Notamacropus eugenii: one gene and its partner. The protein of the gene in region 1 interacts with the protein of each later gene in a pairwise test. Links are inferred from orthologs where the notes say so. Each region holds a gene or a part of one and is shown on either strand. Other genes may lie near its edges.

Region 1 (8,912 bases):
TATATACCAAAAAAGTATGCACATCCAACATTTACTGACAATAAATCATAAAGAAATAAACAACTCTTTGACATACATATAATTTTTACCATTTAAAAAAAGACAATAATCTTATATCTGAACCAAGGTGTTTCTGGGCAGTGTTTGTTGGCATTGCATGGTGAGACAACACGCACAGTGCAAAGTGGGCACGTTGCGTGTTCAGAATAAAGGCTGCAGTGAAGTCTTGAGGTGTAACACTGGCAAGCACTGCCAGAAACACCTTAGATTCATTACGAGTTTGATTTTGGGGGGTTTTTTTTTGTGAGTTAAGAATTTTTTGGTCGTTGTGAGTTCAGAAAGCTTTTACTGTTGCCAGATTTTTGAATGACACACATTCAGTTACACGACCCCCATATGGGATAGAAACCCATCGTTTAAGAAGGGCTGATTTATGGAGACAGAGAAGAGGGTAATCCATCTCTTTAGTGTCATTTTCTTCAATAAAATCATAGCCCTTTTTGATGCTGAGTCATATGACTGTACCAAAAACTGAGGTGGAGGAATTTTTTCTGGGTTTTAGTAGTTACAGCTCTTGAGAAAGAGGGAATTGAAGTACCTTTACAGAAAGTTGCTCTCCTGCCTTCCAATGGCTTCTCCCCCAAAGCTGGGAAAGACCTGGTTAGAAATAGCACTAACAGCCTAAAGAAGGCTCCTTTTCTTGGGGCTTTTGGGTATATACCTGGCCTTTGCAGGGCAGATGATCAGTCTTCAGTGGTAGTGTTAGTGGCCCTTTCTTGCTAAGGACTGCTTGCTGCCTGTGATGATGACTTGAGGGGAGGGAAGGGAGAGCAGGAGTGCTGCTAGGCCTGACTTTATAAACATTTAGGTAAAGATTTAAAGATCCTTAATTAGCATAAGTAAGTTGTAGGACAATTACAGATCTGTACTAGCAAAGTGGTTTCTTTAAGGGGAAGTTAGGTCCTTATATCAATAAAATCACACATCTAACATAAAAAAAAAAGTTATTCCATCTAATCTAAGGTCAGTGCTACTCTGGAGTAATTAACAGTGTAAATGGATAAATTGACATGAATTTGTCTTATGAAACACAATCATCCCAATTGTTTAAAACAGTGAAACCTCACTGTGCAATATGAGAAAATTCTAATGCTAGCAATATTTTCCTTTCTAAAAAGAAAAATCATAAACATATGTATACATATATTACATATGATTTAACAAATGGGTAACAATTTAAAAATATGGCATTTTTTTTTTCTCCACATGGAAATAGAGGTAATTTCCTCTATTTTGTTCTAGCCAGCTAGGTGGCCCAGTGGATAAAGCACTTAGTCTGGAGTCAGGAAGATCTAGATTCAAATCCAGATTCAGACACTTACTAGCTGTGTGACTCTGGGCAAGTTAATTCACCTGCCTGCCTCAGTTTCATCATTCCTATAAAATGGGAATAACAATAGAATCAACCTCACGGAGTTGTGCAGATCAAATGAAATAATATTTGTAAAGCACTTAATAGTGCCTGGCACATAGCAGGAACTTAATAAATGCTTATTCCCTTTCTTTCGCTAATATTTCATCTACCTTTTTTTAATGCAACTCTTTTAGGTTTAATTACTTAAGTTCATGAGAAAATACTTCACTATACGTATGAGAACATTTTTCTGAACTTGTGGAAAACCATGATGTTTCTAAGCAGGAGACTAAGAATCTTTTCCTTTAGGGATAGAGAGAGAAGCAATAATAAAAGAATAATTTATAAAACAAATTTTTAAAAATTTATACTGTGTTGTAATTCACTTTGCTGATTGATATAAAAAATAAATATAAAATCTTACTTGGACAAAATACAAATGAACCACATTATCTATATTCATAATTCATTTTCAGCTTAAGCGTTTATTGATCATATAGTTTTATGTAAGAAAGGTAGCATGGTAGGTATCCATAGTTACCAAATTAAGATGTGTTCTTTAAAGTAATAAACATTCATATAATGATTTTTAAAATACTTGTATTTAACTAATAAAAATGAAAATCAGTGAAATAAACTTATTTGTATGTTATAGTAGTTACAATCCTTTGCCTTTGTTATTACTGTTCAGTCATTTTTAGTTATGTCTGACTCTTTGTGACCCCATCTGAGATTTTCTCAAAGATACTGGAGTGGTTTGCTATTTCCTTCCCAGCTCATTTTATAGATGAGGAAACTGAGGCAAACAGGGTTAAGTGACTTGGCCTAGGTCACACAGCTATTTGAGGCCAGAGTCTTCTTATCCACTGTACCACCTAGCTGCCCTCATTTGCCTTTAGGTTGTATTAACAAAAGAGCTATAAAAAAAACAGACTCAAGGCAAAGAATCATGGAATATCATAACTGGATAAGGACAGGAGTTGACCTAGACAATACTCTCACCCCACTAAAAGTAAGTAACAGGATACTATGCCTGGAATCCATAACTAGGTAAGAAAATATCTTGTTAATTCACTAGGTATAAACGAGGCCTGGATATTTCTTAAGGTATGACAAGTCATTCTGACTGGTTGAGGGATTTGATCATGCTCCTTAGAAGCAAATGCTTCGGTCTCCTCCTGCCTGCTTGTGACTTGAGGAGGATGCTGTGGACTTTAGAAAGGCATAGATTTTGGACTTTTCAACTAATGCTAGCACATCCCCAGGATAGCAAGAGCTGACATCAGTTATATACACTGGGAGTCAAAGACAAGAGGAGGAAAGGCAAACTCCAGCTTCTACAAAGAGCCCAACAGAAAAGCTATACCAAACTTAACGGGGATATCTTGAGGACTCTAGCAAATGAACTTCCAGGATATGTGGGTTACCCCTTTGCCACATGTGTGTTCTAAGGCTGAGCTCATCTTCCCCTAGATCAGAGGTAGCAAACCTGTGGCCTTCAGACTACTTGTGGCCACCTAGGTCCTTGGGTGTGGACTTTCAAATAAGTCTGGATTCAGTCAAAGAATCAAATTTGAGGAACCTAGAAAGCCACAAGTGGTCTGGAGGCTGCAGTTCCCCACCCCTGCCTTAGACTCTGTATGTAATGGTGGTCTGAAAGTGTGTCAAAGATTTGGTGGGGGGATATTTTGTAAAAACTGTACCAGATATACCACTCTAGTAAATACCTGTTTCTAATAGCTAATTACATCTGGCTGACTATTCAATATCAATGGCTCATCACAGAAGTAAAGAAGTAAAGATACTATTGGGAGCTGATTAACTTATAGAATTACAAAGATAACCCTTATGCCCTCTCTCTTGCTAATTCCAGTGATGGGTTAAGACAGTGGCTCCAAAGTATGTACTATATTACTCTAAGGGATCTCAGCGCTCATAGTAATTTAAATCATTTTACATACTAGGAAACAAGTCCCAAAAGGTGATTTGGTGCAGAGAAGCTAGTGGCAGGGCTGTGACTAGAATTTTCAAGAAGTTTAAATAAGGCACTCATAAAAGTACTGGCTTACAGATTTTTCAAGTAGTACTAAAGTTTAAAGTTTGCTGGGGTAGAGGGGGGTATACTCTGGGAAAGAAGTGAGGTAGGTAATTCACAAAGCAAAGTAAAATCCTAGATAGCACCTTAAGTGGTATCAATTTTACTAATAAAACAATCATTCAAATGCACAACTGACTGTGGAATCTACTTGATTTATCTGAATGCAACATAAGCAAATACATTCAAGTGGTCACAATTTCAATAGGTGAGAAATTAATGAAAAGCACTGTATTTTCAGTTAAAAGTTATATCTACAACTTAGAGAACTGCACTCTAGTATCCTGTTACTCAGCAATATCCACTACTTATAAAACACTGCATATAAACTAATTTTCCTCTCAATCCTCCCCAAATTCATCATTGCATTCCTGCATATTATTCGAATGGGAACAAAGACTTCTTGAAACTAAAGTCCTTTAACCCACAGGATGGAATTTATAATTTTCTTCATTATTATTACAGCTGTTTGATTCCTTTGATGTCCTTGTCACCAAAAACCATCATACAGCTGGATCACTGACTAACCCTGAATAATTGAAAACTGAACTCAGTGCAATAAGATAGTTATCTTCATCTCCTCCACCCGGATGCCAAAACTAAGAACGGCACAGTGAAGACTTTCAATAGCCTAGTTGTCAGATCCCCTGACTTCAGAGTTATATTTATACATGTGTGTCCCTGATACAAATCCACCTTATAATTTTTTAATGGTGTTTGGGGAAAAGAGCTCAGAAGTATGGGAGGTTTCTCAGGAAAAAAAAGAGAACACCTTAGAGCTTAAAAAGTCAAATGACATTAAAACCTAAGCCTAACACATTCCTTGTCACTGTACACAAATTATCCAGAAGTCCAAGCCCACGTTGCATTAATTCTTCCTCAGCAGGGCAGCTACGAGGGCAGATCAAAGGAGGTTTTTGACTCAAAACATCCCGATCTCCTGGACACTGATCCCCCAGGAAGGAGCAAAGGGCAGTTTGGTGACTGGAGGCTGGAGGGCATGTGAGGACCGTATCTTAAGGAAGGCAACTGATTAAGATACAATTTGAGGTCAGAACCCAGCACCCATTTACGACGATGCCACGCAAGATCACGGTCAAAAGCAATTCTAGCGTTCTCAGAAATGACGAGGCAAGCAAAGAAAGTCTCCCTCATTCCACTTCCCTATTACCATGACGACGGGAAGGGGAAGGCCAACGAGAGGCAGGCCGGCCCGTAGACTGTGTAAGCGTATCCCGGATAGGGATGCCCATTAGCTGGGTCAAGGTCAGGGCCCACAGATGCGGAGATCCACCCCGCCCCCCTCCCCCCCAAAACAAAAACAAACTGAACACTAGTGGTGGCTCTCCATCACGGCCACAACTCCCTCGCTTTCTCTCTTTTCTCCCTCCTACGATGAGAAACTCGGGGTAACGGAGTTGTTCACCCTTCCAACAGGAAAAAGAGGACGGTCCTGGAGGAGACCTTTCCTCCGCCGGCCCCAACTCCCGAGCACCCCACCCCCTTGCACCCGGGGCAATGCCACACACAAGATGGCAGCCACACACCTACCGGAGGGAACCGCGGCGCCACGGCTGCAAGGATGCCGGCTCCCCGACTGCGGTTGATTCTATTGGCTTAACCCCGGAGCGCGAGACAATCCGAGACTGGACATAACCAATCAGGCGCCGGGGAGCGAGCGTACACTTGGGAACCGGGCCGGAGCATGACAGAAGCCTTCCGCGGGCTTCGGAAGCCCGTACGTAACCAGTCGAGGGGTGTGGCAAACGGAAGAGCAACCAATGGCCGCTTCTCTTGGAGGCGCCGGATGGGAGACCCAGACTCCGCCCATTTCGGCTTTAGCCTTAGGGATGCCCGGGGATGCTCGGAAGCGCGTGTTCCGTTCCCGGTGAGGCGGGAATCTAGCGATTGTAGGTATCCGACGGGAATTTGAAAAAAAAAAAAAAAGGCCGAGGAATCCTCCCGGTGGAGGTGTGCCGGAGGGTGGTGGGGGCTACGCCCGGCGCCCCGCGGATGGGCAGGGAGCCAGGCCGCAGGTCGGAAGGAGGTGGCCAGATTAGACACCTTGATCGACCCGGCGGCGGAAAGACTTCTCCGTTCCGGAATTGCGGCGTCGTCTTTCCTCCCGCGCTGCTCTCCCACGGGGTCACGCCGCTTGCGGCTGTTACCGGAGGAGGCAGGGAGAGACCGGCCTGGGCCAGCCCGGGGGAAGCCCGGATCCGGCCGGCCGACTCGCGGGGATGTGGGCCAAACGGGTTCTCTCGTGGGAGCGTTCAACCGGGAGTGCCCAGTCCCCGCGCCGGCCGCTGCAGGGGCGCGGGGTTCTCCCTGACCCCCTTCTCCCCCGCCTCCCCCTGTCTGAATTGAGCCCACGTGTGGCGGGAGACTGCGCCTCGTTCGACTGAAGCCCTGCTCCCCGCTCCGGGCCCCAGGGGCATGGAAACGCAGCCTTGGGCTTGTTGGAACCAAGGAAGCGCTGGGGTCCGGGAGCCGTCCAAGCCAAGGCTGCAACCCAGACCAAAGTGTCTTTACACCAAACTTGTCGAGGGGTCGTTTGCAGGCCTTGACCCCTGTAGTCTTTCTTCACTTCCCCCAAAAGGAAAGCTTTGAAGCAAAAATAATACATTTCCCTTTTAACTGCTGCCATAGGGAAGCAGCCTTCTAAGGAGTAGGAGCCCCTAGGAAAGGGAGATAACTCGATCTATATGCCCCAATAGTGGTAAAAGGAATGACAGTGGTAAAAAGGTGTCACCAGTTCTTGTATAAAAAGAAAAAATGTGCTTGGTCCTTTGACATGTTCTTCAAACCTTTCGGTTTAACATAGTAAATAAAAGAAATAGCAGTTTTCTCTTACTTATGGAAAGAATGACCCTCTAGTAAAACCTAGTAACATTGCTTTTTCTTATAGGTATGTTTCTGCCACTAAGTATGGCAATGGGGACCTGATCAGAAAATTGCCAGATATTATTTCTTGAAGGGGAGATGACAGTTGTGCTCGGTTATTTAACGGCTTTGGTATTGAAAAAAAAAGTTTGAATTTAAGAAAGTTGTGGGGCTGCAAGTTGGAAGCCCATCAGAAATTTAAATAAGATTGTTTTGGCCCTTAATTATATTTTATAAAAGAATTGCATTTTTTTAGTTGACCTGAAACTACAGGTTAAATAATAATGTTCATTTTCATAGTGCCTTATAGTGTTGTCCTTTGGACAAAACCTGTAATATAGTTATCGAAAGTATCCTTACTCATCTTTGAGATGGAACTGGAACTTTGAGAAGTCTAACAACTTCTCTGCAGTAACATAGCTACTTAGTATTTAGATAGACTTTTAACTCAGTTCTCCTGATTCCAAATTGGATACACTAACCACTATAAGTAACATGCCAATTCTTAGATGTCAAAACTTAAGTACGCCTTGCATTTTGGGTGCAGAAATTCCCTTTAATATTTTTGAAGTTGAAAAGTCATCTTTGAACATTAAATAAGATGGCAAAAAATGAATATGTAAAGATTAGAAAAATTAATTTAGGAAGCTGTGTTAAAACTGACGCTGATTTCTTTAGAAAGAAAAATTAGCCATGCAGTTGAGGGTGCCATGAGTATTCCTCATTTGGAATTGAAGCAAACCATCTCTAAATATCCCTAGAACATCTAATATCCTTTGGTTTATTGTAGATTTCAATGAAAAAGACTTGATTTATATATATTTTATCTTAAACATTCTGTGATCAAATAACTATGTATTTACTCATTTAAATGTGTTCTCCTTTTAAAAAAGGAAATGAAACCAACTACAGATTCAGTTGAAACCAACCTGTTTAATTACTGTATCCTGTATATGCAAAGTCACTGGGAGAAAATTTTTTGTGTACAAATTATAGTTCAGTAGTTTCAGGTATGAATAACCCAATTGAAAACATTGTAGGAATTCCAACTGTACTGTGATTCTGTGACTTTTATTATACCCTTTAAAAATGATTTATCAACTCTGCATTTTTCAGATGTGTACTCTTTTTCCTTGTTTTCCATATAGAGTGTTTTACTGATTCATGGATGCAAAGAATGAAAATGTTTTTATCATGAAGAAAGTTCCTATTTAATTTGCCTACTTTTGGATCAAGACTTGGAAGTATAACTTGAAGTCAACATGGAATTTGAATATTAATCACCTCTGATAGTTCCTTTTATCATGATTTCCAGTCTGAAAATTAACCAGACTAAGCTTATCAAAAGGCATTGGATCCAGAATAGGAAAAATGAGAGAGAAATGTTGTCTAATGACTGCCAGTGCCTTGGAGGAGGGAATATAGGAGCCAAAGTTGGATGCTAGTTATGTTTTCAAATTATAATCAGTGTTTCCTCTGATGTCCCTATAAATCTCATCCTGAAGAGGTTCACATACTTCAACAGCTGCTGCAGAAGATGGAAGAAAGAAATGGTAAGTTGAACAAAATGATTAACTTAGAAAAAGCTTTTAGAATGCTTTTGGAAGTATACGTGATTTCAGCTTGTGGAACTTCTACCGCCAACCTTCTTAATGGCTTGGTACCACTAGTTAAAATACAGTATGATAGAAAATGATACAACAAACATAAATTTAAGTGCTTACAGTGTGCCAGGCATGCAGTCTTTCTTGGCTGAGAATGACCATTCTAAATTAGATGGCTTTTAAGCACGCTTAACAAACGCTTTTTTTTTTTTTTTGAACACTTTTAAGTAATCAGAGTGAGGAAGACCTGAATTCAAATTTAGCCTCAAACACTTCTAGCTGTGTGACCCTGGACAAATCCCTTAACCTCTTTCTGCCTTAGTTTCCCCACCTGTAAATAGTGATAATAAGATCACCTACCTCCCAGGGTTGTAGTGAGGATCAAAGGAGATACTTGTAAAGTGCTTAGCACAGTCCAGCACAGCATAAGCACTTAATAAATGCTAGCTATCATTATTATTACTATCCTTATTATAATGTCTATAAAGTGCTTAGCAGAATACCTGACACCTATTAGGGACTGTATAAAATGCCTCTATATAAATGTACTATATAAAACCCTCATACTACTTACTTTAATCAGTCAATAAACAAATACTGTTTGGTGCTTACCATTTTCTAATCCCTGTGCTAGGAATACAAAGACAAAAAAGAAATAATCCTTGACTCCAGGGAGCTTACATTGTATCAGGGAAAACAACGTGAACATAAAGATACAGAGAAGAAAATGGGGGAGGGGAGACCTTGCAACTGGGGAATCAGGATAGGGGGTGGTACTTGAGCTGAACTTTGACAGAAGCTAGGGATTCTTGAACTGGCCATGAGGAATGAGGGCATGGAGCAAAACAATGTATGAAAACATGAAGACAGGAGATGGAATGTTTCAGAATGTTTCAAGTAATGGCAAGTAGGCCAG
Region 2 (8,720 bases), on another chromosome or scaffold:
AAAAAGAAGGTGGCTAATCATGTGACTCATTACAGGTCCAACTTTTTCATTGCCATCCACAAAATATTAAAAGACTCAGAGCAAGGCTACTGGTATACCTGGAAGGCCTTAGGATCAGACTTATGTCTGGAAAGGACCTTAGAGTAGACCCTAGCCTAATCCCTTTGTATTACAGATGAGGTAAGTGATCAAGATCACTCAACCCAAGATCATTCGACCGTTAATTGTCTGAAGTAGGTTTTGAACTCAAGTCTTCCTGACTCCAAGTCCAGTGTTCTACCACATGAATGTTCTATGGAATTGTTGTGATCATTGGCACTATTGTTTTTAAATGGATGAAAGCACAAAAAGTACAAAATGAGGAGGCAGAGAAGACTTTCCATCTGGACCAGTAGAGACTGTAATTATCCCTAGACCTACTACTTCTACAAATGTGATTGTTGCTTAATAAATGTTGAATTGAATCCAGTTGAGTGAATAGCTTAGATACTACAGATAATAGTAAAGACTCCTTATATAGTAAATAGTATTAGTAGAATTCAAGATCCCCAAGGACAGGATAAGTCTCACTTTTGATTTGTAACCTCAGCACATAGCATAGTTCCTGGTTCATAAAAGGCACTTTGTAAGTGTGTGCTGAAGAGCAGCTAGTGGCTCATTGGATAGAGTGCCACACCTGGAACCACTCATCCTCCTGAGTTCAAATTTGGCCTCAGACTCTTCCTAGTTGTGTGATCCTGGGCAAGTCACTTAACCCTTTTTGCTCAGTTTCCTCATCTGTAAAAATGAGCTGAAGAATGAAATGGCATATCACTCCAGTACCCCAGTATCTTTGCCAAGAAAACCCCAAATGGGATCACAAAGAGTTAGACATGATTGAACAACAATGAAAATCTCATGAAAAAGGAGTGACAGAACATGAAGAAGACTTGACAAAAAACCATGCTCTGTTCTCCCTCTGGTGGTTCTCAAGCAACACTGCACCTCAGCCCTGAAGCAATATCCCCTCAAAGTTGTGTACTTGGTGGGACCTTCTATTTAATTGCACCTCTCCCATTAGAATGCCCAGACTATCATAATGGGGAGGGGGCAAGAGGGGAGCAGAGAAAACCCATGGAAAATGACAGAGATGCTATACTGTGACAGAAGGAACAGGAAAGGCAAAAACACTAGAGCTGAAGATAGAATCTCATCTTTCTATGAGTATATGAGGGAAAATTGAGGCGACTGGATTGATTATATCCTTTGTTGTTTCTCTAAGGCTCATTTGCCCTGCTGTTTAAGTTTTTGACCTAAGTAGTAATAAAATAAGTAGTAATAAAAGCATGGACTCAAAATCATAGTAAATTCACATAATCTTAAAGTCACAATGGACCTTAATATAGCCCTTTAAAATTTACAAAGTGGTTTATCTCATTTTCGCCTCACCACGATTCTGTGAAGTAGCTCTCAGAGATTACTTCATTTTAAAGATGAAGAAACTAAGGCCTTTTTTAATCTTTATTTCTTTGGAACTCTCAGGACCTTGGACAGTCACCCTTATCTCCTTGATACTGCTCTCTTCCATCGAGGTTTCTCTGTCACTACTCCACCCTAGTAACCCTCCTCCCAACAAGACAACTCCTCAGTTTCCTTTGCTAGATTTTCATCCAGGCTACACCCATTATTTTATATGTCCCAGGGACTCTGTCCAGGACCCTCTTCTCTTCTCTCTGTGTATTAGCTCACTTGGTGATGTCATCAGTTCCCATGGATTCAATGATCATTTCTGTGTGAATGATTCTCAAATCTACTTATCCATCTCTAACCTCTCTGCTGAGCTCCAGACTTACATCTCCAACTGCCTATTGGACAGCTTGAAGTTAGATTCCTACAGATATCTTAAACACAAAATATCCAAAACTGAACTCATGTTCAACTCCTCCCCTGTTCCAAACTTCCCTATTACTGTAAGCAATAGCGTCAAACTCAAAAATAGAAATGCAGACCCCTAAACCATACATAAGGATCCTTACAGGTTGAATATTGACTTAGAAAAACCACACAATTTTGTATTTCTTTTTTATGAATACATTAAAATAGAATAAGAACTACATTTTAATCTGGTTCAGTCCCAACATGGCGCCAGATATTGGACATCTCTGCTGGACCATCTTCCTAGTCATCCAAGCTCACAACTCACCCAGTCTTACAGTTTGGGTATCATCTCACTCTCTCTCACCCCTCTATATCCAATTGTTGTCAAGTCTCGTCAACTTCATCATCTTTTGTATATGCCTCTTTTCTCCTCTGACACTACCATCACCCTAGTAAAGGCCCTCAGCACCTCACATCTGGACTATTACTGTAACCTTTGGTTGGCCTCTCTGCCTCAAGTCTCTTCCCACTTTTGCCCTTCCTCCTGTCAGCTTACCAAACTGACCTTCCTAAAGTGCAGGTTGGAAAATGTCACCTCCCTACTCAACATACTCCAGCAGCTTCCTATCACCATCAGGATCAAATATAAAATCCTCTGTTGGGCATTTTCTCTGGCTGTCTCCCATGTCTTGAATTCTCTCACTCCTCACCTGTCTTCTGACTTTCCTGGCTTCCTTCAAATCCCAGTCTAAAATTCCGCCTCTTACAGGAAGCCTTTCAGGGACTCTTAATTGTAGTACCTTTCCTGTTGATTATTTCCCAATTATCGTGTGGGTATGTGAATGTGAGTGTGTGTGTGTGTGTCTGTGCATCTTGTTTGTACATACCTATTTGTTTTCTCCCCCATTAGACTGTGAGCTCCTCAAGGGTAGGAACTGTCTTTTTCCTATCTTTGTATCCCCCTTACTTAATATAGTGCCTAACACAGAGTAGGTACTTAATAAATACTTGTTGACTGACTGAATCTATAACCAGCACAGCCATGACTAGCAATTCTGCCCAGGGAAAGCAACATAAAAGTATTCTCAAATCTTTTAAAAGTTCAGAGGTAGCTAGGTGACTCAGTGGATAGAGTACTGTCTCTGGAGTTAGGAGGACCTCAGTTCAAATCTGGCCATTTTTTCAAAATAGAATATTCATGTTTAGTTATATAACCAACACCATGTGTCTAGTAAAAACTATGAATTCCTTAAAATATTTTTATTGCATAAAATTCATAAAATTACAAGGGAATTTTGAACAATTCATCGCTCAGAAACACAATGTCCCAATAGCTCATGAAGCCTTCCCTTCTCCTCTCCACTTTCACTTTCTTCAGGATTCAGTTAAAGTCCCACATCTACGCAGCACTTTCCTTGAAATGGGAGCCTAGCCTGTGGTTAATCTCTTCCTTCTGTGGTAGCCTGGAACAAGCAGTGTTGTCATCAGCTCTTTTTATGAGTGTTTGCAGGGCATCCATGCGCTCAGAAGAGTAAAGGGATGACCAATACCTTCTCTCCCCTCAGTCACCTGCCCAAAAAGGTGTGGACTCCTTGTGCAAGGTAAGAACTGAAGACCTGGGTCTCCCCTGATTTAGTCAATTGGCCTTTGTTGAGGAGGAAAGTGAGGCTCTCTGCCTGAAAGGCCCATTCATGACAGAGTTCACACATGTGGACTTGGCCTTTTAAAGAAGGGTGGGAACCTATCAGATTCAGAGAAGGGAGGTACAGCAAGAGAGGAAAAGGGAAGGAAGAGAAGGAGGAAGAGAGGAAGGGAGGGAGAGAGGGAGGGAGGGAGGGAGAGAGAGAAGGAAACGAATGAGGGAGAGAGGAAGGGAGGGAGGGAGGGAAAGGAAGGAGGGAGAGAGGAAAGGAAGAAGGGAGAGAGGAAGGGAAGGAGGGAGGGAGAGAGGAAGGGAAGGAGGGAGAGAGGAAGGGAAGGAGGGAGAGAGGAAGGGAAGGAGGGAGAGAGGAAGGGAGGGAGGAAGGGAGGGAAGGAAAGGAGGAAGGGAGGGAGGGAGGGAGGGAGGAAGGGAGAGAGGAAGGGAAAGAGGAAGAGAGGAAGGGAGGGAGAGAGGGAGGGAGGGAGGAAGGGAGGGAAGGAAAGGAGGAAGGGAGAGAGGAAGGGAAAGAGGAAGAGAGGAAGGGAGGGAGAGAGGGAGGGAAGGAGAGAGAGAGGGAGGGAGGGAGGAAGGGAGAGAGGGAGGGAGGAAGTGAGGGAAGAAAAAGAAGAAGGGAGAGAAGGAAAGGAACGAGGGAGAGAGGAAGGGAAAGAGGGAGAGAGGGAGGGAGGGAGGGAGGAAGAGAGGGAGGGAGGGAGGAAGGGAGGAAGGGAGGAAGGGAGGGAGGGAGGAAGGGAGGAAGGGAGGGAGGAAGGGAGGGAGGGAGGAGGAAGGAAATGCTTGAATGAGTGAATCTGTGAGTAAAGGAAGGAATGAACGAACGAGTGAGGATCCTGACTGCAGGATGAGGCCCCCGGGCCTCGGACCACTGAGGGGCAGAGCTCCCGGGGAGATCGGGCCCGCGCCACTTCTCCGGCCTGCGCCCGCCTCGCCCGCAGATCGGGCCTGGTCCCCACCCCCACCCGCGGGCCTCCTGGGTCCTCCTGACCTTCCCAAGATGGCGGCCGCGCCGCGGCCGCTCTAGCCACGCCACGCCACGCCCCCCGCGCCCTCTCGCTGGTCACGTTGGCGACGTCCCTCTAGAAGAGCCGCTCTAGCGAGCGCGCGACGTCTTCTCGATAGCGGTGGGCGGTGCGAGCTGGTCGTGTTGCTGGTTGCTACGTGCGGAGCAGTTGTTTCATGGCTGCGGCGGGCCCGGGGGCTGAGGTGCGGGGGACGGCGCGGCAGGAGCCGGGACGGGCGCCGGGCAAGGTACTGGACGGAAGCCGAGGCAGAAGAGCGGTGAGGGCTTCGGGGCCCGACCACGAGGGCGGGTCTCAGGCCTAGGAGGGCCGGGAGCCGCCTCGGGCTGGGGCGAGGGGTGGGGAGAGAATTGGGAAGCCCGCGGCCCCGGGCTCGCATCCAGGTCCCGCCGCGTCCTCGCTCCCGAGGGCCCTCGGGTGTGTCCTTGCGCCCCTGCCCCACCTTTCCGCAGTGCGGAGGAGCCTCCGGCTCTGCAGTCGGGGACACGCCCGCGACCAGCTCGGGCGAACCGGGGGCCGGGGGGGCTTGGGTTCGGATCCTCCTCGGTGCCTGGGCCCCACGGTGCTCCCGCCTGTAAAACGGGGAGGCTTGGTTACAAGATGGCCCCCAGGCTCGCACGCCTGGCGAATGGGGGGGGCGCCCTTTGTTTACTCTGCAGCGCCACACCCGTCGGACTCTTAACGGCGGGCCCCGCTGTGTTGGGCCACTTTTAGCTCAAGGTTTTTGGGGGGCGTCTTGGTCGATAGGTCCATTAAACGCCACACACACCCCCACGGGAGAAGACGCACCAAGATGGCGGAGGGGGAGGGGAGCCGAGCCGTGGCGTCCCCCTGCGGGGTGTGTAACGGTACCCCCAAACTCATCGTGCCCCCCTCCCCCATGATGTCGGGAGCGGCCGCGGACCCTCAGAACGGGTTTATTTTAACTACGCGTTCTGAAATTGGAACGTTAGTAGAAAATGGGCAAGATGGTGGAAGCACCAAAATGGCCGAGCCGGGGGCGTGGCCGAAGGTTTGGTGCAATGAGGTCATGCTGCAGAGTGCCGCAGTGGGCGGGGCGGGGGCGGGGCCTCGGGAGAAAGAGGCGGAGGGGCGGGGCCCGGGTAAGGCCCGCCCCCCAGACTGCGGCTCGGAGCCTCGCCCTTGGTTTTTGGGTAATCCGTAGGTGAGGACGATCTGGCCTCCGGTCTTAATTCAGGAATGTCGGGAGGGTTTTTTTTAATAGCCGAATTGTGAACGAGGAAAGAGAAGTTTTAATGGGAGCCCTGCGGGTGTCTGTAGGGAGCGGGGCGGAGGGAATGGAGCCGTCAGTGTTTGCTCCTGCTCCCCAGGGGGCGGGAGGCGGCCGGAGAGGGCTTGGGTTTGGGGTGGGGTGTGTCCCGTCCCCCCCCAGGTTAGGAGATGGAGAGTCTGATAATATGGGGGATGTGGGCGGGGCCAGGCGCCGCAGCCGAGGGGGTGGAGGTGCCGCAGTCTTCTGTTGGTGATTACGTCATTGGGCGGAGAGGGTGAAGAAGAAGAAAGGGTTGGAGGACCCGGTGTAGGGATTCGGAATGGAAGGCCGGTGCCTTAGTGAAACGCCAGCGAGACTGAGGGTGAGGGTGAGAGACTGGTGAGAAAGGGGTTCCCAGGATGTCTGCATTAGAAAGAAAGACGGGAAATGGGGAGCGCAACCAGAAGATTCGCCTTAGCTTAGAGGACAGAAATGGGGACCACAGGTGAGCGGGCGCTGTTGGAGAACGGCTACTTTTACCCTCACGCCTACGTCACAAAACATAGGCCAGGAGAAAATGCAGACTAACCTGGGGGGGCAGAAAAAGGAGTTTTCTCCTTTGATTGTTAGATATCACCTCTCACCAGTGTTAGAAAGATGACCATGATACGCAGTGTTCAACCCCTTTTTGTCCTCTGCCTGGATCATTATGCTCTTCTGAGTGAACATCTGTGTCTTTGAGGAGACTCGGTGAAATAAGAATTAAGTGTATCTTTAGATTGGAATTCTGCAAAATCTTACCCTTTTATAGTCTCGGAGGGGTGGGGAGGGCCTCTGTAGTGGAGCCAAAGAGTAATAGAGTTCATTCATTTAGGAAACCTTTATTAAGCCCCCGTAGAGATAGGCAGGGCTCTGAGCTAAGTGCTGGGAATACGCAGAAAGGCCTCAAAGAGTTCCCAATCTGGTTCTTTCCAGTTGCTACCATTCTCTGATTAAGGTAATAAAGAAGAATCCTCCTGCCGGTTGGTACTGGTATCACATCCTTCATGACAGTGGAGGACACTTGGTTAGCATTTATCTTGCTCTTTGCCATGCCCTGAGTGATGTCAGCAATCAGAGGAGTATTCAAGTTAATGTATGTGGTCATTGCTATTAAGGAGTCATGTGATGTTGGAGTGCCTTTAAACGTTTTTAAAGCCTTTTCTTTATTTGCAGGGGGAAACACCAAATCATTATATTTGCAAAAGGAAAAAAGGTTCTGCATAGTAACATGAAAAATGGCCCTGATATTTTATAGTAGCACTCATAAGCAGATTCTAAAAATGAGTCTTTCATCTTTCCCAAAATAAGTATCTACTTTTGCACATTTTCTTCCCATAGTGCAGAAGTGCTCTAAAGAGATTGTTGTAGACTACAGTTAAGTCTGTATATTTTAATGCCTTTTAGGAAAATGAGGGTGGTAAATTTACAGTGATAAATCTGCAGAAGGCTGGCAGATTTAGGTTTGAAATTTTAGAAGGCATATAATTCTGCCTCTTGATTTTTTTATAAATTAAAATTAAGTGAAACAAGTTGCCCAAGTTCTGTAGCCAGTAAGTGGGTCTTTACAAGGTTCCTCAAGCCTAGGGTTTTTTGTTTGTTTACTTTCTCTGTTGCTCCAACCACAAGGCATTTTTAAATTCTTTAAACTAAGCAAAACGGGAACAGAAACACAGGTGGTTAACCAATCACAGAAGTTACTCAAAGGTTAAAGTAATTGGCAAAGGAAATTGAAATTTTGTCCCTAAAGTCTCAGCAGTTAGAGTAAACTAAGAAAAAATTCTCAAGAATCATTTAGCATGAGTAATGTGCTCTGGGAAGGCTTTTCCAGCTGTAGTGTGTGACCAGATGTTAGAGGTGAGGTATCCAGTTCATGAGAATTGTCTGTTTCTTTTGCACCAAGGATCCAACAAATACCTACTTCTGAGCAAATATTACACTGAAATCCAGTGATGACATGGGATTGTTGAAGTGATTTTTTTCCTCCGCATTTAGAAATATCTGTGACTTCTACTTAAAATCATCTTCCCAGCTATGTGGAAACTCCTCCAGAGTTGAAGAATCTTTAGGCACATCTTTGTCGTCTCTGTTACGTCCCAAGCTAACTTTTCCTGGTACCATGCATTCGTGCCTACAAAATACTTTCATTGATGAGTGGTCAGGGTGCTATATATCAGGTCAATTTCACTTGCTACCCTTTAGGGCTTTATGGCTTCTCTGACTGACGTTATTTTGGTCGTATTCCGCTACTAAAATCACTTGACCATAATAGTCATTCAGTTTCAGGTTCTACATGAAAATCATAACTGTTCTGGTGGCAACCCTGCTGTCTGAGTGAGTTCAAGATGACCAAAGGGGTTAAGCCATATAGCTATAGCAGAGCCCCACTTTCCTCTTGGACAGCCAGCCACCACTATATAATAGGGTGCTTTTTTAAATTGTCACCTCACCTCTAGTGAGCTTCTTCGTGTCATTTTTATTTCCTTAACTAGTACATAGAGTATAGAATACAAATGATTGGTTCCATTGTTGATAAAAATTGATTTGCTGTAAAAACATTGGTAAATCCATTCACATCTATTTGTTCCTCTGCCAGTTTCAACTGTGAATGTTTTTGGGAAAATGGGGCTTATTGCCCAGTTTGTGATATATAGTTGGGTGGGCAGTCCATTGGTGGACAGTGCAGGCGGGATTACATTTGGGGAAATTCACACTGCTCTTTCCTACGAAAGTCCATCTTATTAGCACCAATATTTCTCTCAGTGATACTGTATGCCTACAAATCATGGAATATTGTATGCACTCAGAAGAAACAAAATTGCAGGTGACCTGTGGAAAGATTTATGATTGGGGCTAAATAGGATGCAGCGTATTATCACTGATGACTTGTATGCAAGAAATCATGTAAAAAGCATGGCATATGATCAGA

What was found.
Region 2: the proteins of SETDB2 (region 1) and ARL14EP interact in binary tests that used the Homo sapiens proteins (3 or more experiments, as listed by UniProt). The two-hybrid records come from large-scale screens. The link is inferred for Notamacropus eugenii from reciprocal best matches to the Homo sapiens genes SETDB2 and ARL14EP.

Annotation. Positions count from the first base shown.
Region 1 is NC_092876.1:107,012,649-107,021,560, reverse strand, and holds the start of SETDB2 (histone-lysine N-methyltransferase SETDB2), read left to right. Parts: upstream 1-5,219; 5' UTR 5,220-5,419; intron 5,420-7,540; 5' UTR 7,541-7,929; coding exon 7,930-7,945; intron 7,946-8,912. UniProt on the Homo sapiens protein: Histone methyltransferase involved in left-right axis specification in early development and mitosis. Specifically trimethylates 'Lys-9' of histone H3 (H3K9me3).
Region 2 is NC_092877.1:21,033,329-21,042,048, reverse strand, and holds the start of ARL14EP (ARL14 effector protein), read left to right. Parts: upstream 1-4,617; 5' UTR 4,618-4,768; exon of another isoform or gene 4,769-4,798; intron 4,799-5,289; exon of another isoform or gene 5,290-5,377; intron 5,378-5,658; exon of another isoform or gene 5,659-5,704; intron 5,705-5,956; exon of another isoform or gene 5,957-6,257; intron 6,258-8,720.